Lonchura striata: one gene and its partners. The protein of the gene in region 1 interacts with the protein of each later gene in a pairwise test. Links are inferred from orthologs where the notes say so. Each region holds a gene or a part of one and is shown on either strand. Other genes may lie near its edges. The genes, in order: KAT5, GAPDH, STX11 and CEP70.

Evidence for each region.
Region 2: the proteins of KAT5 (region 1) and GAPDH interact in binary tests that used the Homo sapiens proteins (3 or more experiments, as listed by UniProt). The link is inferred for Lonchura striata from reciprocal best matches to the Homo sapiens genes KAT5 and GAPDH.
Region 3: the proteins of KAT5 (region 1) and STX11 interact in binary tests that used the Homo sapiens proteins (3 or more experiments, as listed by UniProt). The two-hybrid records come from large-scale screens. The link is inferred for Lonchura striata from reciprocal best matches to the Homo sapiens genes KAT5 and STX11.
Region 4: the proteins of KAT5 (region 1) and CEP70 interact in binary tests that used the Homo sapiens proteins (3 or more experiments, as listed by UniProt). The link is inferred for Lonchura striata from reciprocal best matches to the Homo sapiens genes KAT5 and CEP70.

What each region holds. Positions count from the first base shown.
Region 1 is NC_134638.1:282,172-290,363, reverse strand, and holds the start of KAT5 (histone acetyltransferase KAT5), read right to left. Parts: upstream 3,630-8,192; 5' UTR 3,588-3,629; coding exon 3,579-3,587; intron 3,429-3,578; coding exon 3,362-3,428; intron 2,834-3,361; coding exon 2,765-2,833; intron 2,411-2,764; coding exon 2,274-2,410; intron 446-2,273; coding exon 365-445; intron 1-364. UniProt on the Homo sapiens protein: Catalytic subunit of the NuA4 histone acetyltransferase complex, a multiprotein complex involved in transcriptional activation of select genes principally by acetylation of nucleosomal histones H2A and H4.
Region 2 is NC_134604.1:29,413,142-29,421,254, forward strand, and holds the start of GAPDH (glyceraldehyde-3-phosphate dehydrogenase), read left to right. Parts: upstream 1-4,942; 5' UTR 4,943-5,032; intron 5,033-5,501; 5' UTR 5,502-5,522; coding exon 5,523-5,545; intron 5,546-6,116; coding exon 6,117-6,216; intron 6,217-6,349; coding exon 6,350-6,456; intron 6,457-6,541; coding exon 6,542-6,632; intron 6,633-6,803; coding exon 6,804-6,919; intron 6,920-7,033; coding exon 7,034-7,115; intron 7,116-7,252; coding exon 7,253-7,404; intron 7,405-7,505; coding exon 7,506-7,584; intron 7,585-7,811; coding exon 7,812-7,895; intron 7,896-8,020; coding exon 8,021-8,113. Other genes in the region: C-type natriuretic peptide 2-like, read left to right, coding at 808-906, 2,276-2,548. UniProt on the Homo sapiens protein: Has both glyceraldehyde-3-phosphate dehydrogenase and nitrosylase activities, thereby playing a role in glycolysis and nuclear functions, respectively.
Region 3 is NC_134605.1:50,041,977-50,048,078, forward strand, and holds STX11 (syntaxin-11), read right to left. Parts: upstream 2,046-6,102; coding exon 1,179-2,045; downstream 1-1,178. UniProt on the Homo sapiens protein: SNARE that acts to regulate protein transport between late endosomes and the trans-Golgi network.
Region 4 is NC_134610.1:9,371,403-9,379,441, reverse strand, and holds the start of CEP70 (centrosomal protein of 70 kDa), read left to right. Parts: upstream 1-4,606; 5' UTR 4,607-4,684; coding exon 4,685-4,693; intron 4,694-5,126; coding exon 5,127-5,226; intron 5,227-5,379; coding exon 5,380-5,503; intron 5,504-5,821; coding exon 5,822-6,002; intron 6,003-6,318; coding exon 6,319-6,488; coding exon of another isoform or gene 6,489-6,492; exon of another isoform or gene 6,493-6,881; intron 6,882-7,583; coding exon 7,584-7,643; intron 7,644-8,039. Other genes in the region: FAIM (fas apoptotic inhibitory molecule 1), read right to left, coding at 1,023-1,251, 1,612-1,747, 2,379-2,422.

The DNA of each region.
Region 1 (8,192 bases):
CTGCCCAAAACCACCCCAAAACTGCCCGAAACCACCCAAAATCCCCAAATTCACCCAAAATCCCCAAATCCACCCCAGAACTGCCCGAAACCACCTCAAAACCCCAAAAATCAGCCCAAAGCCCCCCAAAATCTCCCCCAAAACCAACGCAGACACCCCAAACCCACCCAGACTGGTGTTACTGGTATTGTTACTGGCCCATACTGGTGTTACTGGCCCACACTGGTGTCATATACTGGGCCATACTGGTGTTGATACTGGGCCATACTAGTCCATACTGGTGTTACTGGTCCATACTGGTCCATACTGGTGTTACTGGTCTATACTGGGCCATACTGGTCCATACTGGTGTTGCTGGGCTCACCTGGGGGAACACGGACGCCTGCGAGGTCTCGGTGGGGGCGGGGACGGGCGTGGCCGGTGACACCACCTCGACCTTGCGCTTCTGGGACCAGTTCAAACCAGTTCAAACCGGACCCTCCCAGTCCCCCCAGACCCCCCCAGTCCATCCCAGTCCCTCCCAGTTCATCCCTGTCCCCCCCAGTCCATCCCAGTCCCCCCCAGTTCATCCCAGTCCCCCCCCAGAACATCCCAGTCCATCCCAGTCCCCCCCAGTCCATCCCAGTAGGCCCGAGGAAGGGGAGGCTCAGGGGACACCCCGGGGACAGGGACAGGGTGACAAAACCGGGACCTGCCAGGGACCACCTCCGGGGCCACTTTTGGTGCCAGCTGGGGACCCTGGGGACATTTGGGGACATTTGGGATATTTGGGGACATTTGGGGCCATTGAGGACATTTGGTGAAATTTGGGGCCATTGGGGATCCTGGGGACGTTCGGGGACCTGGGTGACATTTGGGGACCCTGGTGACATTTGGGGACCCTGGGGCCGTTTGGGGACATTTGGGGACCCTGGTGACATTTGGTGACCCTGGTGACATTTGGTGACCCTGGTGACATTTGGGGACCCTGGGGCCGTTTGGGGACATTTGGGGACCCTGGGGCCGCCGGGGCCATCGGGGGTTACCGTGGGGCGCTGGGGGGGCTCGGCCTCGCTCTCCTTGGGCAGGTGCAAGCGGAGCGTGATGGGCCCCGGCCCCGCTGGCCCCGCTGGCCCCGCTGGCCCCGCTGGCCCCGGTGGCCCCGCCGCTGGCCCCGGTGGCCCCGGCAAACTCTTCCCGCTGGCGGGGGCCACCGGCAGCGCCAGCTCCAGGCTCTTCCTCTGCGCCGGGAGGAAGAGGAGGGTTTAGGGGCACGCGCAGGGGACGGAGCCACCGCGGCTCGGGGACCCTCCCGCCACCCCGGGACCCCTCCCGGGGACGGCCCTTGGTGGCCCCAAGGGCTCCTGAAGGGGGACAGGGTGGCATCCAGGGGTCGGGGGTGGCCCCAAGGTCCCCTTAGAGGGGTCAGGGGTGTCCCCAAGGGGTCAGGGGTGTCCCCAGGGTCCCCTTAGAGGGGTCAAGGGTGTCCCCAAGGGGTCAGGGGTGTCCCCAAGGGGTCAGGGGTGTCCCCAGGGTCCCCTTAGAGGGGTCAAGGGTGTCCCCAAGGGGTCAGGGGTGTCCCCAAGGGGTCAGGGGTGGCCCCAGGGTCCCCTTAGAGGGGTCAGGGGTGGCCCCAAGGGGTCAGAGATGTCCCCAAGGTCCCCAGAGAGTGCCTGGGGATGTCCCCAAGGTCCCCTACAGGAGCTGCAGGTGTCCCCAAGGGGTCGAGGGTGTCCCCAAGGTCCCTTAAAGGGGTCAGAAATGTCCCCAGGGTCCCCTAAAGGGGCTGGGGATGTCCCCAAGGGTCCGGGGTGGCCCCTGGGTGTGTCCTGGGGATGTCACCACCCCCCAGGGGACGTCCCTGCTGTGGGGGGCGAGTGTCCCCGTCACCAGGGGGTTTGGGGACTCCAGGTCTGTCCCCAGCGGCTCCACGTGTCCCCTGTCCCGTGTCCCCCCCGTGTGTCCCCTCAGTGCTCGGTCCCCGAGGCTGGCCCCTGTCCTTGCCCTGTCCCTTGGTGTCCCTCGCCCGTGTCCCCAAACTCTGTCCCTGTCCCACCCCCTCCTCAGCCCTGTCCCTTCCGTGTCCCCTGTCCCCAGACCCCTCTGTCCGTCCGGTGTCCCCTCAATGTCACCCGACCTCCCGCTGTTCCTCATCCCCCGTTTCCCCCCATCCCCTCCCCGTGTCACCAAGTGTCCCCAGTGTCCCCCCATGTCCCCGTATCCATCACCAGGTCTCTGTGTCCCCTCCAGGTGTCCCCCCAGGTCCCCCCGTGTCCCCGTGTCCCGGGGCTCACCGGGTCCCTGTCGGGGGAGCCGGGCCGGGAGCCGGGCAGGCCGTTCTTGGTGGGCGTCTTGGCCTCCTTGCGGGGCACCTGGACCCTCTTGAGGTCCAGCCGGTCGTGGGTCACCCACTCGTCCAGGCGCTTGTTAACTGGGGACAGCGGGGACATGGCGGGCTGGCACGGGGGGTGGCAGTGCCAGGCCAGTGCCAGCCCATTGCCAGCCCAGCGTCCACCCCAATGCCACCCCAGTGTCCACCAGAATGCCACCCCAGTGTCCATCCCAGTGTCCACCCCAATGCCACCCCAGTGACCACCCCAGTGCCCATCCCAGTGTCCATCCCAGTGCCACCCCAGTGTCCATCCCAGTGTCCCCCATGTCCCTGTGTCCCTGTCCCCGTGTCCCCCCGTGTCCCCGTGTCTGTGTCCCTGTCCCGTGTCTGTGTCCCCGTCCCCGTGTCCCCCCGTGTCCCTGTCCCCGTGTCCCGTGTCCGTGTCGCGCTCACAGTCGATGTAGTGCACGTAGAAGAGTTTCCTGCCGCTGATGTCCTTCACGCTCAGGATCTCGGCCAGCGCTGAAACCGGGGGGGTGGGGGTCACCACACAGCCCCTCCTGGGACCCCCAAACCCCCCTGGGACCCCCAAACCCCCCTGGGACCCCCAACATCCACCCAGGCACTCCAAACCCACCCAGGGATCCCTTCAGGGACCCCCAGACCCACCCAGGGACCCCCAAACCCACTTAGGACTGCCAAACCCTCCTGGGACCCCCAAACCCCCCAGGGACCCCCTCAGGGACCCTAAACCCACCCAGGGACCCCCAAACCCACCCAGGGACCCCCAAACCCACCCAGGGATCCCCTCAGGGACCCCAACCCACCCAGTGACCCCCTCAGGGATCCCAAATTCCCCCGGGACCCCCTCATGAACCCCAAACCCCCCAGGACCCCCTCATGAACCCCAAACCCCCCAGGACCCCCGACCCCCCCGGGCCAGGCCCCGCCCCCTCAGGAGGCCCCGCCCCCGCCGCTTCCCGCCCTTTCCCTTAGCCCCGCCCCCGCGCCCTGATTGGCTGCCCCCGCGCTGAGCCCCGCCCCGCTCACGCCACTCATCCTCGTTGTCCTGGTTCCGGCGCAGCACGGGCAGGCGGCAGCCCTCGGACACCTCCCCCTGCGGGGGCGGGGCCTCGTCAGGGCCGGCGGGGCCCCAAAACCCCCGCGGGGGGTTCGGGGGGTCCCCGAACCCGTCCGGAGGCTCCCGGAGCCCCTCGGGCGGCTCCCCGAGCCCCCTCCGCGCTGCCCCCCCCCGCCCGCTCCCCACCTCCGCCATTCTCCTCCCGGCCTTCGCTTCCGGCCGGCCCGACGCGCTTCCGGGACGCGGCCCCGCCCCCTCCGCGCCTGCGCCCCGCCCCCCGGTTGGCGGGAGCGCTCGCGGGAGGGGGCGGGGCTTTCCCGGCAGCCGCGTCACGTGGGGCGCGGCGCTTCCGCCAGCGGCGGCGCGAGCGGGGCCCCCCCCCCGCCCTTCCCGCTGCCCCCGGGACCCCCCCGGGACCCCCCCGGGACCCCCGGGACCCCCCGACCCCCGCCATGGAGGACGGTGAGTGCTGACCCCCCCCGCGGCGGTTTTGGGACCGTTCCGCCCCGAGTGACGTCGCGGGGTGAGCGGAGGGTGCGGGCCCTTTAAGGGGGGGGGGGCGGGTTTAAAGGGGGAGGGGGTTTTGGGGGAAGACCCCCGCCCCCGTTAAAGTGACCCCTCCCGTTAATGCGAACCCCCCTTAATGTGACACCCCCTTATGTGACCCCTCCTTTAGGTGACCCCCCCATTAATGCGACCCCCCCCATTAATGCCACCCCCCCATTAATGCCACCCCCCCATTAATGCGACCCCCCCCATTAATGCGACCCCCCCATTAATGCGACCCCCCCATTAATGCCACCCCCCCATTAATGCGACCCCCTTCATTAATGTGACCCCCCATTAATGTGACCCCCCCATTAATGCGACCCCCCCACTAATGCGACCCCCCCATTAATGCGACCCCCCATTAATGTGAATCCCCCCATTAATGTGACCCCCCCATTAATGCGACCCCCCCCATTAATGCGACCCCCCCCATTAAATCGACCCCCTCCCCTTTGCCCCCCAGTGACCCCCCCAGACCTCCTGCCCTTCCTGCTGCAGGACTGGGGCGCTCCAGGTGAGTGGGGCCGGGTGGGCGGGGGGGGGTCCCCCGGGGGTCCCGGGGGTGGGGGGGGGGTGCGGAGGGGCTGACGGGACCCCCCGGGACCCCCGTGCCCCCCCAGAGGCGGGGGGGGCGGCGCCGTTCGTGGAGATCCTGGAGCAGCCGCGGCAGCGCGGGATGAGGTTCCGCTACAAGTGCGAGGGGCGCTCGGCCGGGAGCATCCCCGGGGAGCACAGCAGCGAGAGCACCCGGACGCACCCCACCATCCGCGTGAGTGTCCCAGTACAAACCAGTATGGACCAGTAACAGCCTGGGACCCCTCAGTGCCCCCCCAGTGCCCCCCCAGTGCCCCCAGCCCCAGGGAGCACAGCAGCGAGAGCACCCGGACGCACCCCACCATCCGCGTGAGTGTCCCAGTACAAACCAGTATGGACCAGTAACAGCCTGGGACCCCTCAGTGCCCCCCCAGAGCCCCCCAGAGCCCCCCCAGTGCCCCCAGCCCCGGGGAGCACAGCAGCGAGAGCACCCGGACGCACCCCACCATCCGCGTGAGTGTCCCAGTACAAACCAGTATGGACCAGTAACAGCCTGGGACCCCTCAGTGCCCCCCCAGAGCCCCCCAGAGCCCCCCCAGTGCCCCCAGCCCCAGGGAGCACAGCAGCGAGAGCACCCGGAGGCACCCCACCATCCGTGTGAGTGTCCCAGTACAAACCAGTAATGACCAGTAACCACCCAGTGCCCCCCTGAGCCCCCCCAGTGCGCCCCACCATCCGCGTGAGTGTCCCAGTACATCCCAATATGGACCAGTAACAGCCTGGGACCCCCCCTGATCTCCCCGGCTCTCCCATCCCTGGCCGGGGGGGCTCAGCACCCTCTCCCCCAGCCCCACTGCAGCATCCCCGTGAGCCCCCCAGCTCAGACCAGTGCTGACCAGTCCAAACCAGTGCTGACCAGTCCAAACCGGTCCCGCAGGTGAACAACTACCGGGGCCCGGGGCGCGTGCGGGTGTCGCTGGTGACCAAGGACCCCCCGCACCGCCCGCACCCCCACGAGCTGGTGGGCAAGGACTGCCGGGACGGCTTCTACGAGGCCGAGCTGAGCCCCGAGCGCAGCGTGCACAGGTGGGACCCCAACCCGGATGTCCCCCCCAAAAACCGGGACAGCCCCGAAATCGGGATGGGACCCCAAAATCGGGACAGCCCCGAAATCCGGGACAGGAACCCAGACCAGGACGGGACCCCGAAATCGGGATATCACCCAAAAACTGGGACATCCCCCGCCAAAAACTGGGATATCCCTAAAACCAGGGACAACCCTGAAATTTGGGACAGCCCCGAAATCTGGGACAACCCCAAAATCCGGCACAATTCTGAAATCCGGGATATCCTCCCCCAAAAACTGGGACATCCCCAAAAACCGGGGAGAACCCCAAAATCCGGGGACAGCTCCAAAATCCAGGACATCCCCCAAAAACTGGGATATCCCCCAAAAAAACGGGATATCCCCCCCCCCAAAAACTGGGACAGCCCCAAAACCCGGGTCAGCCCCCCAAAAACCGGGGACATCCCCCAAAAACTGTGGACATCCCTCAGGCTGGGGGCACACCCCAAAACTGGGATGTCCCCCAAAATCAGGGACACCCCCAAAACCGGGAGACACCCCCATGGGGCGGTGGGAGCACCCAAGATTTGGGAACCCCCCCAGAAGAGCAGGTGGTATCTCCCAAAATACTGGGGATCTCCCTCCGGGGCGGGTGGGACCACCCAAAAACGGGGGGCGACGCCCAAAATACGGGACCCTGCCAAGAGTCCTGGGAACCCCCAAAATTCGGGATCCCTGCCCCGGAATGTTCGGGGGGATCCCAAAATCCAGGTGGAGCCCTGAGCCAGCCCAGTTTTGGGGGCAGTTTCCAGAATTTGGGGATCCAGTGCGTGAAGAAGCGGGAGCTGGAGGCGGCCGTGGCCGAGCGGATCCGCACCAACAACAACCCCTTCAACGGTACTGGGAGCACTGGGAGAGACTGGGAGGGACTGGGAGGGAACTGGGGGGAACTGGGAGGGAACTGGGAGGGAACTGGGGGGGAACTGGGAGGGACTGGGAGGGACTGGGAGGGAACTGGGGGGGAACTGGGAGGGACTGGGAGGGAACTGGGGGGAACTGGGAGGGAACTGGGAGGGACTGGGAGGGACTGGGAGGGAACTGGGGGGAACTGGGAGGGAACTGGGAAGGACTGGGAGGGAACTGGGAGCGATTGGGAGGGAACTGGGAGTGACTGGGAGGGACTGGGAGGGACTGGGAGGGAACTGGGGGGGAACTGGGAAGGACTGGGAGGGAACTGGGAGCGATTGGGAGGGAACTGGGAGTGACTGGGAGGGACTGGGAGGGAACTGGGAGCAACTGGGAGGGAACTGGGAGGGACTGGGAGGGAACTGGGAGGGACTGGGAGTTACTGGGAGGGAACTGGGAGTGATTGGGTATTACTGGGAGGTCACTGAGGACAGTGCTGGGGGCGTCACTGGTCTGTACTGGTCTGTACTGGGCAGTGCCAGGGGAGCAGCGCAGGGGCGAGTATGACCTGGGGGTGTCACTGGGGGTACCTGGGTATGTTAGTGGTTTGTACTGGTATATACTGGTCTATACTGGTTTACACTGGTCTGTACTGGTCTGTACTGGTTTATACTGGTCTGTACTGGTTTATACCGGTTCTCACTGGTCTGCACCGGGCAGTGCCGGCGGAGCAGCGCGGGGGCGAGTACGACCTGGCCGCGGTCCGGCTCTGCTTCCAGGTGTGGGTGAGGGGCCCGGGGGGGCTGCAGCCCCTCCCCCCCGTCCTGTCCCAGCCCATCTACGACAACCGTGAGTGGGACACGGGGACACGGGGACAGCTGGGGACACCTGGGACACCTGGGGACACCTGAGTGACACCTGGGACACCGGGGGGACATTGGGGACACCTGGGGGACATTGGGGACAGCTGAGGGACACCAGGGGACAGCTGGGGACACTGGGGACACCTGGGGGACATCCCTGAGACCCATGTGGGACATCCCTGGGACGTCCCTGGGACACCCAAGGGACACCTGGGGACACCCGAGGGTGGCCCGGGACCCACGGCGGCCCCGCGCTGTCCCCAGGTGCCCCCAGCACGGCCGAGCTCCGGATCTGCCGCGTGAACCGCAACTCCGGGAGCTGCCGGGGCGGGGACGAGATCTTCCTGCTGTGTGACAAGGTCCAGAAAGGTCAGGGGGCACCCCGGGATGGGGACAGCCCGAAACGGGGCACCCCAAAAACGGGGCACCCTGAAAACGGGGCACCCTGAAAACGGGGACAGCCCGAAACGGGGCACCCCAAAAATGGGGCACCCCAAAAATGGGACAGCCGAAAAACGGGACACCCCAAACCCGGGACACCCCAAAGCTGGGACACCCCAAACCTCGGACACCCCAAAACCTGGGACACCCCAAAACCTGGGACACCCCAAAGCTGGGATGTCCCAAACAGGGCGATATCGGTGTCTGTGTCCCCCGGCTTTGTTCCTGTCGCTGTCACCTGTCCCTGTCCCCGTGTCCCTGTCCCTGTCCCCGTGTCCGTGTCCCTGTCCCCATCCCTGTGTCTCTGCCCCCATGTCCCTGTCCCCATGTCCGTGTCCCCGTGTCCCTGTGGTGTCCCCGGGGTGTCCCCAGCATGTCCCCATCCCCATGTCCATGTCCATGCCCATGTTCCTGTGTCCATGTCCCCATCCCTGTCCCCGT
Region 2 (8,113 bases), on another chromosome or scaffold:
AAATCTGCTCCTTGCTATCCTGCTCCCATTGTGTGCCTGAGCTTGACAAAGTGCAAGCCGAGTCTCAACAAGCTCTTTTCTGTGACGGTTCCTCTGGAAACTCAGCCCAGTCCTCCAGATGGTGACTTGGGACAGACAGCCCGCAAATTATATGCTAATAGTACTAGACCCACGCTCCTGTCACTGCTACAAATTCTGTATAGTACTGAAATTTCACCCACCTTCTGCAGCAGGAGCTCTTCATTCCCAGTCCAACTGTCTCACTAAATTATAAATATTAAAAACAAGCCTGTGTTGTCATAGACCTGAATTTTTTTGTCCATTCTGTGCAGCCAGCAGTGTGCCTACCTCTAACTTAGCTGCAGTTCATACTCACACTGATCAGAGAAATAGCATTAACAGCACGCTACCTATGAGGAGTATGTTCAATACTCGTACACAATGCAGCCTTCAATATCCTCCTTTTGGGATGCATTTCAGTGTGTCACCCCATCCCTGACCCTGATAGACACCTCCAGGTCCTGGCCAGCAGCAGCTCAACTCACATTTGTCTTCCCAGACACTCAGTAAACACCTTTGTGTCCTTTTTCTTTAGAGGAAGGGGTCTTGCTGAGCTCACCCTGAAATATATCACCCTGGACAAAAGGGCTGAAAGGTTAAGGAGCTCCAGGGGGTGGTTCAGCAGGGAGCTGGGGCCAGTCCCTGCCAGAATCAAAGCTATAAAGGCAGAGAGGGGCTAGGAACCACATCCTACATGGATGCTGCGAGTCCTGCCTTGCCTCCCACCAGCCCTGGGCTAAGAAGAAGATGCTGGGGCTTCAGTCATGGCCTTGCTCATTTTTCCTCTTCTTGGTTCTGCTCTCTGCCAGCGTTCAGACTGTGTCCTTACCAGGACAGAGGCTACAGGTAGGAGGGAGTAGGACAGAGCTGAGGTTAATTTCAGGAGGGGAGGAGGAAGGAGGGAGGTTATGTTTGAACCTCAAATGAGAAGTGGTCCCAAATTCCAAATACAAGACAGCTGCTGTCTATTCTTGTTGCACTCTCCCCTTCAGCAGCCTCAGCTCTAGGGTGACTTTATAATCCAGTCCCTAAGGAGCACCAGCATTTCGAGACAGGAAACAGACAAAAGCTTTTTAGTGCTCTGTAAAAGCTTTTAACAGCGAAGGGCCTGGCCCTTTCTAAGCCCAATCTGTGTCAGCAGCCATCAGATATTACAGTCCTGCTTTTCATCATGGTTCTGGTTCTGATATTTCAGAGGGAAGATGCATCCTGTTAGGCCAGGAGTTTTGCTCCTAAGCTCAGTATTATCCCCCTTAAAGACCCTCTTTAAGGCCAAGAGCCCTGTCAGGATGCCAACTAAGGAGTTCTTAGCTTGAGTAAATCTTTATCCTTTGCAATTCCAGCAATAATATTTTTGACTTTCCATTCTAGCCAGCTCCCTCTTACCCAAACCCTAACCTGAGCCCCACCACCTTGCCTTTACATCACCCTGGGAAAGCCACAGGGAAATAGTCAGGACATGAACTAAAATCACAAGACTGATCCTGCTATGACTCACCACTTTCACTCCTTGCTGAGGATGCCTGTGTCCGCTTCAGTTAACTCGCTACCACAAAGAGCTGCACAAAGGCATCCTCAGCCTTAGCTCAGCATCCATGTGAGAGACAGATGTAGAACGGCTCCTGCAGGCTGCTTCTGTGGGCAGCAATGCCGTGCCTCCACTGCACCCAACATACCCCCCACGACTTGTCTCCCAGCAGTGCAGAGGATTTACAGTCAGCACAGCTAACACAGAGGATTTCCAGCAGATGGGGAGTACCTCTTCCTCACACCTGCTCTGTTCCTGACTCTCCCTCATCTTTATCAGGTGTTAGGTGTTTATCAGGAGTCAGGACCATGTTGTACACAGCAGCCTGAGCACACAGAGATGCTCAGCATCCACAAAAGGAGCAAGGACTGAAGAGTTACCTTCCAAATCTGGGGCAGGGCAGGATGTGTGTACGGTTTTACAAGAGCAGGGCAATCTGCCCACAGGCAGAGCTCACAGCAGATGTCTGCCTGCTGTTTTGGATGACAGTCATTTCAGACAGTGGGAGCTGCTGGTCAAACCCTTCCCTGTGTCTGGATGCAATGTCACAGGCACAGTGCTGTAAACAGGCATCACTTCAATGTCCTGCCTGAGTCCTCAGGAGGGTATGGGCAGTGGGGTACCAGGGGGAACAAGGCTTATCACCAGAAGCACAGGCATCACCCCACTCTCCTCCATTTATCCCAGATGCTCCTTTCACGATTGCTACCCCTGGAGCCCAAGTCCACGCTGACCGAAGAGGACACGAAAGAGGGATCCAGCTTTGGTCCTCAGCTGCTCTCCTCCACTCTCCCCTTCCTCCCATCTGGGGCTAGAGCTGCCCGTCCATCCCTCTGGCGCAAGAACCTCTCCAGTCGCAAGTGGGGACTGCCCGGAGATTGGGCCTGGAAGGCCATGCCCAGGGGTTGCTTTGGGCTGAAACTGGACCGAATCGGGACCTTCAGTGGTTTGGGGTGTTAGCTTTGGAGGGCCTCCAAGGTGAGTGGGATAAGAACGTGGGCTCGAGGGAGCGGTAAGGAAGGAACTTGAGGGCAGAGCTGTCAGCGAGGGGATGGGTAGCGGGGCAGGCTGCCGGGCAAGGCGGGGCCCGGGGACGCCCGTGCTGCCGGCGCGGTGCCGGGGCCCGGCCGGGGCGAGCGCAGGCGGGCGGGACGCCGCTGGGCGGCTCACCAGGCCCGCTTCTCCGCAGCCGGAGGGCACCCAGCCTCGGGAACCTGCACGGTCGGCAACCAGCACGGCGCAGCGCTGCGCGAAGCCCTGAAGCTCCCGCCCCGAACATGGGAGGCTGCGGCAGCGAGGGAGCGGCGCGGCGGTACGAGCAGGAGCCGCCCGGCTCCGCGGCTGCCCCCCCGGCCGCTGAACCCCCGCTCGGCCGGCAGCCCCCTCCTTGCTCCCCGTGCCCGAGGACTCGCTCATTAAACACGCTGTACTAATTTGCCGCGTCCGCGGTGGCTGCCCCGGCCGGGAGGCGGTGCAGAGCCCGCCCGGCGCCCCCGGCCCCACGCGCGGGGCCGAGCCGGGCCCGGCCGGCGCCGCCGCCATTCCGCGTGGGGCGTGCGGCACGCGCGGCTGCGGCGCGGTGCGGCCGGGGGGGCGGGCACGGGTGAGGTATCGACCGGGCACGGGGCACAAGGGCCGCGCTGCTCACCCCGGCCGCACTCTGCCCCCGCCAGAACAAACACCGGGGCCTCCTGTTTGCGCCGAAGCTTCCCCCGACAGCCTGCCTCGGTGGGCTGCGGCCGGGGCGCCACCGACCCCGCACGAGCTCGTAGCCCTGCTGCTGTGCCCCGCGAGCCATCACCATGTCCTGGCCTTTAAGAAAAGGTTGTAACCTCAGCTGGGTCTAAACTTAGCCACCAGCCCCTCAGCAGCACCGGGAATAGCAGTGGTTTAAGGAGAGTAGGGTTACGTTTGAGCTGCATGACCCCTCTCTTGTCCCCCACCCCAGTACCTGCGTGGTTCCCCCAGCCTGCCCACCCCCTCCCTTATCCTCAAAGCCCGGCTCACCAGAGTAGCCAGAGGGACACACTAGCTCCCGCCACCCCCACCTGCTCTGATAGCCCAGATTTGCATCCCCACTGTTCCCACACCTTCCTCCGGGATGGGAGATTTGGGATTTGTGCGTGCTCTGGGCGTTGTACCTCAGGCGGGGTTGTCCCGCAGCACCTGCCCCGCGCGCAGCCGGGGGATGGAGGCGGCGGGGCGCGGTGAGGGAGCCCAGCCTGGGGGGCGGGGAACCGGGCAGCGGCCATGCCAGGAGCGCTTCCTCCTCGCAGGCAGGCAGGGAAGGCGGGCCGAGGCGGCAGACGAGCAGGATTTCCGCCGTCACGTCCCGCGGGCAGCGGCAGAGTGCCGCAGTGCCTCATTAAGATGGTGCTCACGCTGCCGCCCGTGGCCTGCTGGGGCAGCGCCCGGCCAGGGGCCCCGTCCAGAGCGCGCCTGGATAAGCCCACCCGGGGAAGGTCGCAGCCTGGAGGCGGGAGAACTCCCAGACTGTACCTCCCGTGCCGGGGGGAGTGGGGGACAGCCTGGAGATCCGCCGCTCCCTCGGGATGACCCGAGCATCCCTGCAGTCCCTTTACCCGTGCAGCCATAGAATCATGGAGTGTTAAGGGGTTGGAAGGGACCTTAAAGATTATCCAGTTCCAACCCCCGTGCCACGTGCACGGACGCCTCCCACTAGAGCAGGTTGCTGAAGGCCTTACCCAGCCTGGCTTGGAACAGTGCCATGGTTGGGGCATCTACAGCCTCCCTGGGCAACGTGTTACAGTACCTCATCACACTCACAGTAAAGAACTTCTTCGTAATATCCATCCTAAATTTCATCCCTTTCAATTTGTACCCATTACTCCTTTTCCCAACACTAAAGCTGCTGACGAAGAGTCCCTCTCCGGCTTCCCTGTAGGTCCCTTCGGATACTGGATACTACTCCATCCAATTGGGCACAGGCTGCAGCCGGGGCGGGTGGCTACCTGCCCTTTGTTACCAGGTGAAAGCAGCGCACACCATCCTGCGGAGCAGCAGCGGGCCCGGCGGGAGCAGCCCCTGACCGGCTATCGCCCTCTCTGCCTCCTCGGGCAGGGGTGCAGCCACCCATCCCCGCTCTGGGGACACCTCCGACCAAGGACCGGTGCATCTTTCACCACCGCCACCTGCACCACCAACCCCCTTGGGGTGGCCCGACGGGAGGGTGATCGCTACGGACCCTACATTCCCAGAGCGGGGCCTTTGTTAACGGGGGGCGGCGGGGCGGGGGAAACAGGGGGAGTCTTCGGCAGCCGCACCCGCGGCACGGGCGCACGTAGCCCAGTCCGGCCCCCGCGCTGCCATTCGACGGCGTCGCGGCGGGGCGGGCCCTCGCCCTACCCTCACGCGGCTATAAAGGGCGGCGGAGAGGCGCTGCGCCACCTCCTCACTGCGCGCCGGGCGGCTCGGAGGCAGCAGGTAACGGGCGGGGCGGCGGAGATGCGCGGGGGGAGAGAGCGGTGGCGGCGGGCGTGTGGGAGCCCCCTCCCCACACGGGCGCCCCGCCCGCCGGCGGGGGGTGCGGCAGCCCCCGGGCGGAGCGGGGCCGCGTGGCGGCGGGGCCCAGGGCACAAAGGCGGCGCGGCGCAAAATGGCGGGGGCGGCGTGAAGGGGGGCGGTGAGGCGAGGAGGGATAGGGGTGTGAGGGGGAGATGGTCGCCGCAGGAGGAGGAGGGGGCGGGTAGTTGTCGCGGGGGGGGCAGGTGGGTTAGTCGCCCGCGGCGGGGGGTGGGGCTAGCTCGGCGCGCGAGCCCCCGCTCGCCTCGCGGCCCCCGATGCCCGCTCGCCCCTCAGCGAGGGCGAGGCGTTAACGGCACCGGCTGAGGGCGCGACTCCGAGGGCGGCTGGTGCCGGCTCTTACGCCCCCGCTGCTGGTTTCTGCCCACAGGAACATCCCGAAGCGGTAAAGATGGTGAAAGTCGGAGTCAATGGGTAAGTGCTGCGGCCGACAGGACCAGCGGGGATTTCGAGGGGGGTTGTGGTGGAGCGGCAAGGTCGCCTCAAGGGCGCGGGGGGAAGATTCGGGGAGAGGCTGGATCCCGCCGGCCCCGCTCGGCCGGCGCCCCCCGGGGCAGCGAGCGGTGCTGCTGACTCATTTCTCCTCGGGTTCGGGGTGACTCACTCCGGAACGGGCTGCCGTTGCTCGGCTGCCCCAGTTTCCCTCCCCGTTCCCGGGGATCCCTGCAGCCCCCCACCGAAAGGTTTCTCAGTGGATCGTGTGTCGATGGCGGCCCCGGGGATGTGACCTTCTCGTGCCGGGCCGAGGAGTAACCGGATCCCCGGGGCTCTCTGTAAATTTAGCGATTGACCTTTCTGGGGCGGGGGTCGTTCTTAATCTTTAACCGGGGTGCCTTGGCCTTTGGACGAGCTGCAGGGCTCCCTCCCGCCCTGCCGGGCAGGGAGCAGCTGATGATCCCAAGGGAAGGCTGCCAAGGACTGCCTCCCATGCCCAGCTGGGCTGGTTCTCTGTTGCACCTCCTCACCCGTGTCTTTCTCTCTCCAGATTTGGCCGCATCGGCCGCCTGGTCACCCGGGCTGCCGTCCTCTCTGGCAAAGTCCAGGTGGTGGCCATCAACGATCCCTTCATTGATCTGAACTACATGGTGAGTTGCTTTGCAGTGCCCCCTCTGGGCCTTTCTGAGTAGGGCTCCTGTGGATCTGTTCTCGTAGCTTCCCCGGGTGTTAGAAGATGATGGCAGCCTGGGTGCCTGACCTTCTGCTCCTCCTATTTATTAGGTTTACATGTTCAAGTATGATTCTACTCATGGCCACTTCCGGGGCACTGTCAAGGCTGAGAATGGGAAACTTGTCATCAATGGGAATGCTATCACCATCTTCCAGGAGTAAGTATCTCTTTCTTGATTGCTCCTCTGGAGATTGAAAGCAACTGTGTCATGGAACAGCTTGTAAAATTTTGTCCCTCCTTAGGCGTGACCCCAGCAACATCAAGTGGGCAGATGCTGGTGCTGAATATGTTGTGGAGTCTACTGGTGTCTTCACCACCATGGAGAAGGCCGGGGTGAGTATGCCACAGAGGTGTAGGAGAGAAGGGAATAGTGCTGCTTTCTGCCTGTCGGGCACACCACCATTTACAGAGCTGCTCAAGATAGGGCTGTGAAGGAGAAGAGATCTGAAGAAGCAAGCTTGGAAGGATCCTGAGTTATGTAATCTCTTATCTTTCTCTCTCCAGGCTCACCTGAAGGGTGGTGCCAAGCGTGTGATCATCTCTGCCCCCTCTGCTGATGCTCCCATGTTCGTGATGGGTGTCAACCATGAGAAGTATGACAAATCTCTGAAAATTGTCAGGTAAGGAGAGTAGCATGCTTCCTGGCCTGGAGCTCTCGCCAGCTGCCAGGGGTCTCACTTCACCTCCGTAGGAGTGTTGCCTCTGGCTGACGTGCCTTTATCTCTCTATCCCAGCAATGCTTCCTGCACTACTAACTGTCTGGCGCCCTTGGCCAAGGTCATCCATGACAACTTCGGCATTGTGGAGGGTCTCATGGTAGGTCTGCAGCTTGGTGCTGAAGAGGGTGACCTACCACAGATCCCCTCACGTGAGAGGGAAAAGCGTCTGTGTCACCTGGGATGCTCTTTCTGGAGAGTATTGGCTGTGTTCTTAATCCTATGCTCTTTCCTCAGACCACTGTCCATGCCATCACAGCCACACAGAAGACAGTGGATGGGCCCTCTGGGAAACTCTGGAGGGATGGCAGAGGTGCTGCTCAGAACATTATCCCAGCATCTACTGGAGCTGCTAAGGCTGTGGGAAAAGTCATTCCTGAGCTCAATGGGTGAGTGTTGTCCCTTCTCAGGTGTCAGGAGGAGGCAGAACATTCCTAGACTGGCAGAGGAGTGCCAGATGCTGTTCCTTAGTGACTTGTGTCTCTCACAGGAAACTTACTGGAATGGCTTTCCGTGTGCCAACCCCTAACGTCTCTGTTGTGGACCTGACCTGCCGTCTGGAAAAACCAGTAAGTGTTGTGGACGGGGTCCTAACAGCTTGCAGATGTGCCCCTCTTCCTCTAAGCTCTGCATTGCACCTGGAATTGCCCTCTCTGCATCCATCTTGTCCTGAAGATAATCTTTGTGAAAAGAGCACCTGCTGGGGTGTTCCCATGTGTGTCTTCTCCCTTCCCTGTCCCCAATGGACATTTTGTGTGAGTTGGAATCTGATCATCTTGGATCTGTGTCTCCTCAGGCCAAGTACGATGACATCAAGAGGGTAGTGAAGGCTGCTGCTGATGGGCCCCTGAAGGGCATCCTGGCATACACAGAGGACCAGGTGAGGAATGCCTACTCTCAGCCTGCAGTTACAGGCTCTTGGCCTCACTTTTGTAAAAGGCAGCTTTGGGCACTTGGAGTAGAGACTGTGGGCAACCATATGCATTACAATTTCTCGTGTTTCAGGTCGTCTCCTGTGACTTCAATGGTGATAGCCATTCCTCCACCTTTGATGCGGGTGCTGGCATTGCACTGAACGACCATTTTGTCAAGCTGGTT
Region 3 (6,102 bases), on another chromosome or scaffold:
TATTTCCTTGCAATACTCCAAACCTACTGGTTTGCCCTTGTGTAAGGGAAAAATCCAACAAAAGGAGAGTTTCCTTTTAAGCTTGAAAAGAGCACTGAAATGGCATGAAACTGTTTTCTTTCTTCTTCAGATGTACTGAAGAAATAGTTCTGTTTGCTTTCCCAGGTGGAGATTTCCCAACAATTGGTGAAAGTAAAAATCTTTGTACACAAGTAAAATTGCATATAAAAAAAAATTAATCCTTCATCTTATTTAAAATAGATATAAAAAAAATCTATATTTGGTCAATGCTTATAAAAAATAAAAGTGTACTGATAGGCGAGTCATTGCACTAAAACTGCCTCTATGTACGTGCCAGTACAGGAGATCCTAAAATGCTTTCTCAACCCCATAACTGTTGTCCTCTTATATGTGTTTCTGCAGAAGGCCACTCCATGTTCCTCCTCTGGCTGAAGTGTTTATTGGCATAAAAATGCATCAGAACATGAAAGCATAGCAGGTTTGAAACTGGGAGTCCAGAGAGTGGCTCAAGTTAAAAGTGAGTGAGATGCCTCAGTGTTGCAGTGCTTTTAGCCACCTTGAGAGAGTTGGGTACTCAAAATGGAAAAAAAAAGCAGTCATTTGCACACAAATAGAGCAAAATGTGCATATTATCCATTTCAGGTGCTGTTGCTTCTGTTAAGATTACTGACAGCTGAAAATCAAGTTCCTGCTCCTGCTCAGTATTTTGTCAAATTTGTATCAAGCAGCCTCCAAACTAAAACCTACTGTTTTTTTGGTGTGCTGTGTTGCCCCAGGCAACAAGGCTTCAGCACCTGCAGCCTCACTTCGACAAATAGGAATAAAGTTACTTTTTGAAAGTATTCATCTTCTCTACGATAAGTTATTCATTCTTCTTTCTTGCCTATATGAAATGAATATCATTGTAAAGATATTGCACCTCTAGTTACAGTAAAAGAACCTTTCAATTAAAATTAGATTAAAAATAGTTTTATCAACATTTCTAGAAGTTCATAAATAGAAACAGCCTTCAGCACATTTAGTAAAAAGACAATGAACAAAACCAACTGCAAAATATCGCCCCTATTTCTAGGGCTTGTCATTACAGAACAGTCTCTGGAAAGAACACCTGATTTTGAAGACATTCGAGTCAGTCTGTGATAGCTCCAGTAGGACCATCACCTTCTGCAACATGATATGCAGCAGCAGAGTATTGTTCTGAGGGGATGTTTTCTCCTGTATTCCAAAGCTCTTTTCACTTGGTCTTTAGCATCTCCTACATAGTCCTCAACATTTTGCATATTTATCTCAATAACATCAAAGGTGTCTGCCTGTTCCTCCACTAGGAGGGCCACCTGCAGAAAGAGCTCATGAACTTCTTTAATGCGACCTTCTAACTTCACCAGCTCCTTGTGCCGCGTCTCTATCTCATTCAAGGCTGCGCGAGCTCCCTTAACATCTGACAAGAGATTCTCGGAGAAGACATCCCATTTGCCTTGCTCAATCATCTCCTCAATCTGGTGGCCAGAAACATCTTTGCCCATGATCTCCAGCTGCCGCTGAATTCGAATCTTGCAGTTCTCCCGCTGGTTCATCTCTGTTGCATTGTAATCAAACATAGCGTCCTGAAATGTGTGCATGAGGTCAACGTAGTGGTTCTTTGCCACCCTAGCAATGACAGACATAGCTCCGTATTTTGTTATTGCATCTTCACAGAAATCTCTCATTATCTGCAGTTTCCTGTGAATGCTTTCTCCACGGCTCTTAATGTCTCTGGCAATACAATTAGTATCTCGTTTGATGCTACTAAGACGGCGCATGGAGGTAAGGAAGCGGGTGTTTTGCTTTCTGAGACGGTTGACATCCGCTTTTAGGTGGTCATTTTCTGTCCGGATGGTCTGTATGTCCTTATGAAGGATTTCCAAGGCATAGTCCGTCTCATAAAGGAGAATATCCTGGGGTGAATTTTCATCATCATCACTATCAGAAAACTGTTGGTTATGCAACCTGGCAAATTCACGCAGCTCACTCAAACGATCTTTCATCCTGCCTGTAAAACAGGAACAGGAGGAATGAGTTTGAAGTAACTAAAATATTGGTTAAAAGAGTTGAAAATCTGTAACTAATAGCTACATCATAGTGATAACTAAATCACAGATAACAAACAGTTATCAAAGGTAACCCAAAATACCAGATTTTAAATTTGTTCACAGTATTTTATATAGTGATGGATATCACATCCAAAACTCTCCTAGAACAATGTTCTAGAAAATACAAGTTTAGAAACAAAACTGAAGGAAAAAAGACTACAAATGCTGAAGTCAAAAAGAATAGTAGGACAGTGCCAAACTCCCCACAGAATGCCAGTCTTTTACTTGGATGGGAAAACTATACTCCTGATAGTAAATCTTCAGCTATCACCATCTGTAGACATGTTAATAACTGAACACCTTCCACTACTGCTCACTAGAGAAATCTCCTCTAGATCCTGATCCCTCATTACATCGACTACCCAAAATGTCACAGGGCTTCCCTTATTCTAAGATTGCTTTTCCTGGAAGAATACTAAGAAGCCTCTCAGAAACAGAAATGGCATTTACCAATACAGTTGGGAAAGAAAAGTTTCAAAAAAATGATGTGGAAAGTATCATGATAGGGGAAAAAAATAATAGATAAAAGGGGGAAAAAGCAACTTTAGTGTCTCCAGATGCTATCATTGACCATAGAGTACCAGGCATCAACAATTATGTGTGTGGAACATCTCTCTTACAAGGATAAACTGTGGGAAATGAGCCTATTTAGTCTAGAGCAGAGAAGACAGAGAGGATCTGAGCACACATAAATATGTCAAAGGCAGATCCCAGGAGGATGGTGCCAGAATCTTTTCAGTGGTACCCAGCAACAGGACAAAGAAAAATACCCATAAATTCCCACCAGTTGTTTGGGGAAAGGCAGATCTAACAGCCCCACAGTTAGGTTTCAGCCCAGAGTCACTAAGGACAATAGTGTCAGACTCTTGATAATTTATGATGCCCACTTTAGACACTTCAAGCCCAATTCTTTGTACCTGGAATCTTCAGAAGTCAGCCCCTTCTGACTGCAGTCACTGCTGCAAGCCCCGAGCACTTTGCTGAGTAAGATCGCGAAGGAACAAGCTGGACATCAGGGAATGAACCCATGGATCAAGGCCACTTGTGAAGAGCTCCTCTCCAGTGACATGGACAGCATCACACACAATCTCTGTGATCCAGCAGATCCAGTAGATCTAGTTATAAGTGGAACAGAGGGATCAAGTTGCAGTTGCACTTACAGTCTTCGCCCTGGATTTTCCCTGCTCCCCAGTACTTAGTTCTACATTATTTGTATCTATGTACCAAAACTTATGTTTAAGGTGGTCAACATTAGCATCTTTTAGCTCTGTCTGGGATATGTCTCCACAGCTAAAGTGTTCACACTTTTGTCCTAACAAATGGATGCCACCTATTTAAGCCTGACTTCAGAGTCCTGCAAGATCAGGCACTTTTTGGCACTTTCTTTAATTCTCCCCAAGTCCTGTCTTTTTGTTTCCAAAGTGCATCACCTAGCCAGCTTCCTACTTCATCTTCACATTTTCAACATGCTCTTCTTTATCTAGGAAGGACAGGATGTGAATAACTTTTAACAGAGGTCTTTTCCTATTTCAAATTCTCATTTCAAACAAATGGGAACCAGATCTTCCCAAGAGAGGACAATAACTTTCAAGCTTTCCCTGGATGGTGTCAGGGACAGAACTGACACTAAAGAGCTGAAATAAATAAGCAGGGAGTGCAAGGGGGAAAAGCAATTTGAAACATTTCAACTTAACAAATCATGGTTTAGAAAAGTTGGTCTCCCCTGTCAGATGCTGTTGTTACTCAGCAAAGTTTGCATCTACACAAACGTTGATTGTATTGCTTGTAATTTGAACAGCAGTATATTAACACATGATACATGTCTGGTTGTTAGGGATAGCCTCAGACCTCAGTCTGTAAAGTGAGCATCAGTCTCTCCCTTCATACAGTGTCTGGTGCAGCAGTAAAAGTTGGGTTCTCTGATGGGAAAGCAGCTCTGCAGGACCTCGGTGTGCTGGTAGGGAAACATGAGCCATGTGTCCAGGCTGGAGCAGCAAAAGTGAGGAAGGAAAGGAACCCAATCCCCCAATCCCTCCTGTCTGACACTTGAGAGATGCCATCTGGAGTGTCACTCCACACAGACACACTGGGATGAGCCACAGGGAGGCCACAGAGGTGGTCAGAGGTGCTGGAGCACCTGACATATGAAGAGAAGCTGAGAGAGTTGGGAATGTTCAGCCTGAGAAACAGGAAGCTTAAGGGAGATCTTGTTGCCATCACTAACTGCTTAATGCAAGGCATTTTCCCTCCATGGAAATGTACAGCAATAGCACAGCATGCAACAGACCTAAGTGGAAACAAGAGAAAGTCAGCCAGATACAAGATGGGGGGAAAGGAAAAAAAGAAGAAAACCCCAAACAATTAGAAACAATGAAAAAGGTGTCCAGAAAAGTTTTGGAATCAGCATCCTTGAAGATATTTAAAACTCTACTTGACATGGCCCTCAGAAACCTAACTGTGTGCATTTTGAGCAGGCCTGGATTAGACAATGTCCAAAGGTCCCATCTAAATTGTTCTGGTAATCAGCCTTAAATAAAAAGTTTGCTAAGCTGACTACGAACATTAAATATATTCAACTACTTGCACAAGTAAGAGACATCTAACACACTAAAATATCAAAACAGCAACTATTCTGGAGTAACAACCACAAGTGTATAACTACCTTAATAGATTAGTTGTCAGTCTTATTTTAAAATGCTACATATATCCAAACAAGAACACGTACTTAAACATTTGTATTTCTGGGCTAGCTAAATATGTCCTTGTAAATGTGAAGTTCCTTCTGCAGTCCATCATGATGTGCACACCCAAACGCACACACAGGAAATACAGGCCAGGTGATGACTGCAGAGGTTACAACTTTGAACGCAGATATCCAGCAAGTACAGTCAGCTAAGGGCATGTTCAGTGCTCATCTTTTCATGTTACTGCACTACTTACTGGTATTAATCACCACAGTGACAAGCTTTCCCATGATGCATAAGAAATATGCAAATTGTCCTGTTGCAATAAGACTGCCTCCCCAGACAACTGTGTATAATATGGGATTTCAGACAAGAAAGAAAATCCATCTAAAAATCAAAATATATGCATGTGCATACATCCCCTTTCTGTTAGCCCCATATACATAAAAAAGGGAGTCCTACAAACATTGCCTAACATTGCTGTGCAAATGTTCTGAAGCCTGTTAACTATGTAGAAATAACCTAAGGATAAAAAGTCATTTCTATAACTTTTATCTCAGCTTTAACATTTGTACATCCACACTCTATCCCCATATGGGCCATTCACTTAGATTTGGGCTCAGTGATCCTTGTGTGTTCCTTCCAGCTCAGGATATTCTGTGATCAGAGTCTGGGAACAAAGGGTGAAATGATGAAGCAGTCTCAGCACAGCATCCATATTTCATGGCCAGCTGCTGGGAAGGAAGGCAGTGTATGTTTTTTCTTCTTGCAGCATTCGTAAATGGCAGCTGTTACTTAATAACATCTTGTGGCTCACCAAGAGTCTAGTCAGTAATCTTTTCAGCCTTGAGTAGAGCTTTACAAGATGAAGTTTTTACTTCAATTGTTTGAGGAACAACAGATATTTCAAAACAAGTCAGTTAAAAATAACTTCTGTCAGTAGTTCTTCTTGCCCTTGGAAGGTAAAAGGAAGCCACGTGGCTCATCCTAGCTCTGAATGGAATGTGATTTTTACCACATGACACACAATAGACATGACCCAAAAAACAAGTGGAGAACAATTAGGAAATAACCTGCTCTTAGACAAAATTACTTCATAGCTAAGTGTGTGTCAGCACATTTCAGTGACTTCCCATACGGCTTGTAGAGGATGTAGTATTGATGGAAATCTACTCAGATGGACTTGCTGAATTGAACACACTGCATTCCAAGGCAAATAGAGTGCTAGCACTAAAATACAAGTCATACATAGGTAAAAAAAGTGTTAA
Region 4 (8,039 bases), on another chromosome or scaffold:
ATTCATCAAACTGCTTGTATTCTTAATATTTCAAAAGCACAACTTTAAATATCAATCTTAAGAGTTGTTTTTGGACTTGAAACAGAATATTCTTTTTCTTCTCCCAGCACATCCTCCTTAAAATACTTTGCTATAGAATTCCCTTTACTGACACTGTCTTTGACACAACATCAGCAGAGAGCTGAACCCTGCTTGCCTTTCCAGTAAGCATAGGGATATTAAAATTCTGTGAAGACTTATCTGTTTCTGGCACTAAAACTGTCTTTCTTCATTGCTTCCCTTCATCTTAGGGCAGTTCATTCTGTCCTGAGGTTTAAGAAGAAATCATAGTCTGAGATCTCTTGTCTCCAGCTCTAACCATACAGCAATACCCAAGTGGAAGTTTTCCCACTAGATGCCACAGAAAAATTCCTCAAGGGATCATCCCTTCCTCCCACCTGCTTGTAATGTAACTGGGAGAGAGGGGGCAGAAGAGAAACAATGTATTGGTAGTTGTAATTTACCATTAAGAAAGTGAAAGAACATCACTGGAGGGTTTTAGTTTAATTTTGTACATAAGAAGTGATACAGAAAAAAGGCTGTTCATCAATCTATCCACATGTCAAAAATGTGAAATAACATTGTTGCACTTCAGATGAAGACTTCTTGACCATGGCTGATGATTTTTGGAAGGAAAACCTGGTTACCTGCTGAACAAACTTAGACCCACATGAGGTTTGATCACAATGAAGGTAAAATTTTAACAGTCTTCACCTGAAGAACTGCCTTGCTAGGGCAGCTCTATGGATGCAGCAGCAGTAACGTCTCCCAAATCTAGACCACACTGCTGTAGACTCACACATGTATAACAAGTCATTACTTGTCAGACTATCTTTGGCATCTCATTCCAAATTTCCACATCCCCCAGGATTTTATACCGCATCAGAGCTACCCACTCAACTGTGCTTTCTTAATTACCAGTTTTTAAATGCACAGAAGTTTATTCACAGGCAGCAACATGTAGTCACTCAATGTTTACTTACCTAGAACAATTCTATAGTCTGTACCTCCCAAGTTCAATATCCAAGTATTGGTTGTTTTTAACCTGTTCTCTATATACTGCTTGAGACTCTTTCCATTGATCTCCAAAGTGTATTCATATGCAAAGCCACTGACTGCATCAATGTTAATAGCAGCTTTAGTTTTAGTAGCTCCAACAGTGAATGTTTCTTTACCCACTAATTTAAACATCCATTCTCTTCTTATTTCTTCCTGTAGAAAAAAAAGACAGTGGATATTAATTGAAAAAACTGAGTGCATGTTTTAATATTAAAAAATTGAACTGGAACTCGGGAGACAGCTCAGTACTGAACTACTGTTGGGGAATGAAAGCATACATGGTGCTTTGTATGCATAGAGTGCCCCTGTCCAAGGACAGCAAAGCACTTCATGAATACTCACACCTTAATTGGAACTGAAAAAAAAAGAATGATGCATGTTATTAAATTAGGTAATTAACTGAATGAACCTCACTCGCATTTATTAGTCTTTTGTTTGTTGTGATGTGTGTTGCATGGAAGTGTACTTATATAATCTGTATCACAGTGAATTTTGAGCACATAGCAATTTCACCTTTCCATCAACATAGACAACACGCTTTCCTGAAGTGGTCCCATGTTCAAATTCAATCTTATGAACACCATCACTTAAAGCTACTTCCCAAACAGCCACCAAATCTGTCATCTTCTCTAAGTGGCTGTACCGAGACCTAAGGAGAAACCAACAAAGTAAATTAATTGTTGTTGGAAGTCCTGATGTCTGCAGTTCAAAGCTTTACTGCTTCTTCTGCTTTTGTATTTGCATTTTTTGAAATACAAAATGACAACTGAAAGAATACACTTAGAGAACAGCTTATATTTTAATGTTTTTCAGACATTCAAATATGACAAAACATCACAAAATACAAACAGTTAAGCAGACTCATTCTGACAAACAGTACAAAGACACAGTTACCCATCTAACCTCTAAAACTCCCATTTCAGCTGACAATAGGTAACAAAATTACATTTAGTTTTAAGATACTCCTGGATAGTTCTGTTATTTCTTGGTAGGCATTAAAACATATTATTTGATTTGTGTCAAAGAAAGTGTTTCAGCTTTTTAGACTTGAAAAAATAGTCTAAAAACGATTTCCTGTGTTAACAGATTTGACTCTAATCTCATAAACACTACCTACATCATTCAGATATTCAACGCTTCACAGACAGACACAGGGGAAGGGATCTGGCAAGATATCCTTTTATTCAAGTGATTTTTAAAGTTTAGATACAGTCATAAGTGACCACTGGAACTGTGGATATCTTTCAAAATCTGCTCATATCACAGTTCTGATTCTTTACCTTACTTCATCGTCACAGACAGTAATCTCCTCACCGGATGCCATAGAAGCCAAAAGAGCTTTTAATCCAATTAGCAGCAAGAAAAAATAGAAAAGCAGAATAGTAGGAGAGAAGTGCTGAAGTCTAAAGTTTCACCATTTTCTCCAGCTAAGATAAAGGACAATTTTTAAAAGCATCATTAACTAGCGTGCAGTGCTGTCATAAATATGATAAAATAAAAACACTTAAAATACAACCATCTTTCTCTAAGACAGAAAGGCAAGTGTATTTAAAAAAATATTATATTTTACAAAACCAAGTAAGTGCTAGTAGAGTGTCCTACCTTCACTAGCTGCTCATAACTTTGTCAGTTACCGGACAGAAAAATGGGCTGCCTGATTTGTGAGACAAAGCTTAGAAATTAACAACTTGACCAAAGCAGGAACCTAATCCAGAGCTGCGCATCTCAGTCCCAGACCGTAATGAAACTGGGATTAGAAATAGCACAGGCAGTAATTCCACCTCCTCCCTTTTCTAAACAACTGTAGCAGCTTTCAACAAGCACATTACTAAATTTGACCTGGCAAATCAGTCACAAAATCTATGTGAGCCACAAAGAACTAATTTCTTACACGATGGTGTTTTATAACCACCGGTTTATAATGTATTTTTTTCACTCATTAATTTCATTATTATCTTGTCTGTACCTATCAACAAACAAACAGTGCTAACAAATGCCGAGGGGGTGTTTTTGGCCACTCCTGAAATTTCTGGTTCCTGCGAAGGCAGCATCACCGGGCACACGGTGGGAATCAGGCAGGGAATATTTCCCTCCTGTGCTCCAAGGAGAGGCAGGCAACATTTCCCTCCTGTGCTGCAAGGAGAGGCAGGCAATATTTCCCTCCTGTGCTGCAAGGAGCAGGCAGGGAATATTTCCTTCCTCTGTTCAAGGAACAGGCAGGCAACATTTCCCTCCTGTGCTGCAAGGAGCAGGCAGGGAATATTTCCCTCCCCTGCTGCAAGGAGCAGGCAGGGAATATTTCCCTCCTGTGCTGCAAGGAGCAGGCAGGGAATATTTCCCTCCTCTGTTCAAGGAGCAGGCAGGCAACATTTCCCTCCTGTGCTGCAAGGAGCAGGCAGGGAATATTTCCCTCCTGTGCTCCAAGGAGAGGCAGGCAATATTTCCCTCCTGTGCTGCAAGGAGCAGGCAGGGAATATTTCCTTCCTCTGTTCAAGGAGCAGGCAGGGAACATTTCCCTCCTCTGTTCAAGGAGCAGGCAGGGAACATTTCCCTCCTGTGCTGCAAGGAGCAGGCAGGGAATATTTCCTTCCTCTGTTCAAGGAGCAGGCAGGGAACATTTCCCTCCTGTGCTGCAAGGAGCAGGCAGGGAATATTTCCCTCCTCTGTTCAAGGAGCAGGCAGGGAACATTTCCCTCCTCTGTTCAAGGAGCAGGCAGGGAACATTTCCCTCCTGTGCTGCAAGGAGCAGGCAGGGAATATTTCCCTCCCCTGCTGCAAGGAGCAGGCAGGGAATATTTCCCTCCTCTGTTCAAGGAGCAGGCAGGGACTGTTCCCCGGCAGGGATCAGCACAAGGGGCGGCCCGGGGCTCGCAGGAGATGCCCGGAGAGTCTCACACACCAGAGCCTCCATCGCCCCGGGCAGGCCCCGGCGCTGCGGCGTGGATTGTAGGATCAATGCTGAAAGGGTTGGGAAGCATCCCAGAACACACTTTTTTTTTTCCCTGAAATCATGGTAATGAAGCAATACACATTTATTTCACACCGAGCCCGAAGGCTGACCCCAGGCCAGGGGTGGTTGCTGGAGGCGATCCCACCGCGTCCCAAGGGAAAGCCGTGCGCTGCTCCAGGAGGGACACACAGCAGCTGCACCCACCGCCTCCATTCCCTGACCAGCTCAGCAGCCCAAGGCAGTGCTTCCTCCTTTACACGGTTCTGAAAACGAGCCTGGGATTACAGCTCCCAGCCCATCCACCTAATCCCGGCAGCGCTCATCGCCGTACCGGGAAGCGCAAACCGGACGCCAGACGTGCTCCCAGCCATTACCGCCAGCAACAAGTTTTTCCCATTTTTCCCCAGTCTTTATTTTTTGCTCTCCTTAGCCCCACGCCCGGCCGCCGCGCTCCTACCTCCGCCCGCTCTCCTCCCCTCGCCTCCCGCGCCGCAAAATGGCGGCGGCCGCGCGGCGCCGCCCCCGCGCGCCGCTGCCGCCGCTCCGCTCCCGCCCGAGCGGCGCCGCGGCCTGAGCAGCGCCCCGCTCTGCCCCGCTCTGCCCCGCGGCCCCGCGGCCCAGCTCTGCCCCGCGGCCATGGCCGAGGTACCCCGCTGGCCCCGGGCGTCGCTGCTGGGGGGTTGGAGCGGGACAGGACGCGACGGAGCGGTCCGCGAGCCCCCGGAGCCGCCGCCGCCTCCCTGAGGGCTCCGCGCGCGGCGGGGCCGCTGCGCCCCGGGTGCGGTGGAGGGAGCCGCGGGTGGTGGTTCGCGTTTCCTAAAGAGGCGGATTTAACTCATTGCGCCGTGTTCTGCTTTCAAGTAGGGGTCAGGAAAACGGGTTATACTGTGTGGTGTTAAGTACGCGTTTCCCCAGTGTGCTTTGCAGATCGTAGTGGAGTTTCTCACAAACCCTCCTGTAGCGGCCCCCTGGGGGTTTGGGGTTGTTTGCTTTAATTTGTGGGCATTTGGTACCTTGTGCTGCACGGCCGATGCAAAGAACTCAGGTATCTGCCTTTTTTCCCTTTCTCCCAATGCAGCAGGAGAAAACAGAGTGGGAAAACTTAAACAGGGTATTAATGCGTCATGGGTTGAAACCTGTGAGCCTTGCTGCCCCCCAAAGCTGCAGAGGTACATCAGGTAAGGAAATGTAATTTTTTTATTTGGAAATAGTAACCCTAAGTTGATAAGGCATCTTCAAAGCTGTCACTTCCTAGTGGCTGCAATCAGGCAAATCCTCTTTGGCTGTTCAAACCCTTTCATGGTGACTTTGCTTATGTTCTCTGTCTCCAGATATGATTGTCCTAGACCATCAGTCTTCTCAAGAAATAAGACTTGCGTTACAAACGCTGGTGGAAGACACTGAGCGACAGCAAAAGGTGATGCAGGGACTTATGGAAGCAAATCGATGTCTTAGGTAAGACAGTGGAAGGAATTTACCTGCAGAGTAAAAGTATTATCAGTGTGCAACTCCAGCCTGGTGGAGATCTTATCTCACCAGAGGCCTAAGACCTTTTTCCTGAGGTTATTGTTCAATATGCAGCAATATTGTCCCAGTTCCTTTCAAGCTCTCCCCTTGTTTCATCTGCTGCTTCTTCTCATATCAGTGTATTTCCCACACCTGCTGCCACAGGATGTTATCAGAGGTCATCACATAATGTCAGGTGTGTGCTTTATGCACTGTCTATAGTGAAATGAGTTTAATTTAAAAGCAAGGATTCATTTCTTTTTTCAGAGATGTGGTACGACTGGAACAAGGTCGGGCATCTCGGCAAGAGCAACGGGCTAATGATTTGGAAAATGTGGTGAAAAACATTAAGGCCAAAATTTGTCAGCTGGAAGATGAAACAATAGCTAAGGCATGCCAGCAACAGAACCAAGTCAAGGAACTTCAAAAAGAACAACAGGCTTCACGGGTAATTCAGATAGTGCTGCCTGAGGATTCAAACTTTTGACTTACAGAAGATCTCAGAATACTTACATTGATCTAAATAAACATGACTCTTGGGTCATAGGGTTAGTACGCTGTTGATAGCTAAGTATTCTCAAACTATGCAGAATTTTCTAGAAATAATTTTGAAAAGTATCTGTATCTCTCTTAGACTGTCTCTTCAGCATGGCTAAAACCCAAATGCTCACGTTCCTTGGTTCCAGGTGTGTACCTGGGCTTGTATGGTATAGTCAGTGTGTGGGTCATTACAATTCAGTAACACTCCTGTTGCCTGTTCACAGGTAAAATACCAACAGCAGCAGGAAAAGCTGCAAGAACAGGAAGAGATTATTGCCCGCTTGCAGAAGGAGCTGAGGAGAGTTGGGAGGGAGGAGCAGCAGCGAGTTGACATTCAAAACAAAATGTTTTGTCAGTTTTGCAGAAGAGCTCCCAAGTCTCTCCTGGATCAGCGGTAAGTGATTCTCTTCTACTGCTGAATCTCTGCAACAGTAAATGAAGAAACAGATTTTAATGTAATGCTTCTCAATATTTATATGGCAAAAAGAAGTAATCTGGAGACTTTAGGAGTACAAGATGAAATATATAGTCTTGCGAAGGTACCTCAGTGCAGTGATATTTTTCTTTTGTGAAACTGTAAGCCAGATAAATCCATGGCAGAAATTTAACAATTGCCACCCACTGCCCACACTAGATGTCAGCAAAGGGAAGGGAATGATTCACTCTGCTCTGTAGCTGCAGTGGCTGGCAGCTAGGATGATCTCATCCTGGGATGCTGACATTTAAGTAAGTAAATTAAGGAAGTTAAAAATGAACAAACCCCCTCAACAAACAGCATCCTTAGCCCCGCCCCCCCCCCAAAAAAAGAGCCTTTCCAGTTTTGGGAAGTGATTGCAACTGCTGACTGGAGGCTTCCTGTGAGCTTCCAAGTACTTTTGGGTGAGTTCCCAAAGTGTCACAAGGCTTCGTCTCTTGCTAGTAGGATTTCCATAGCTCTGCTACAGTCAGACATTGGCCAATTCCTAAACCTAGCCATTGCTTTATTGTGCTGATATCACCTGGCTTTCTAGGCCTGGCCAACAATGTTTATCTGGGAAACTTTTAAGAGGGATTGTATGTGCTCAGCTTTTTCCTTGAGCTCTCACTGTATCAGAGGAAGGATCCCTAGATTTGGTTCCCTGTCGTCTCTCATGTGTCTCTCCAAACCAGACAATCTCTGAGTGCTCAAAACACTTTATTTTGACTGTGCCTCTCTGTTAATCTTGCTGGGTAACCACAGGCATAAGATGAGGACACTGGTGGGCAGATTTAACTTTTTTCTCCTCTTGAATATTTTGCTGCTTCTGAACTAGTACAGATTCAATGTGTCTACTTTTCCATTTTGGCAAAGTGTGACCGTGTTTTTCTGGTATGAGAGAAACTGCACTGTTTGGAGCAGCCACTTTCAAAGTGCAGTGCATTGTATAAGCTGAGCTGTTCATCTGGGTTGGTCACTATGAGTTTTGTGAGAATATCTGAAATTCAAAATTAACATTTTTCCTTTCTTCAGGTACCTATGTCTAATTGATTATTATGAATCTCAAATTAGTCAGATTAAAAAGAAGCTGAGGTAGGTCTCATTAAATGCCTTGTGGTTCTACTGTTCAAAAATTTTTTAGCCCTTACTGTTCTTAAATGTTATAGTGGTAAATACTCTGTGCTCCAAGTATCACTAGCATGTATGAAACAACAAAGGGTTATGATGGTCATGGAAATTTAGATTTTTCCAGAGAATAACTGGCAGTCAGGCTAAGCAGCTTCTCAATCAGGAGACCAGGATAATTGGGAGGCTTGGGGTATTCAGATGCTTGAACTATAAGTCTGTCTTTCTTTCTTTTTTTTTCCTTCCCCTTCCCCTTTTGCCATGGTTCACAGGCAGAATTACTGCATTAGCTGTGCTCAGTTGATAGATCTCCCAAAACTAAAGGTTTTCAGCTCTGTCCCAGTGCCTGCATGGCACAAAGCA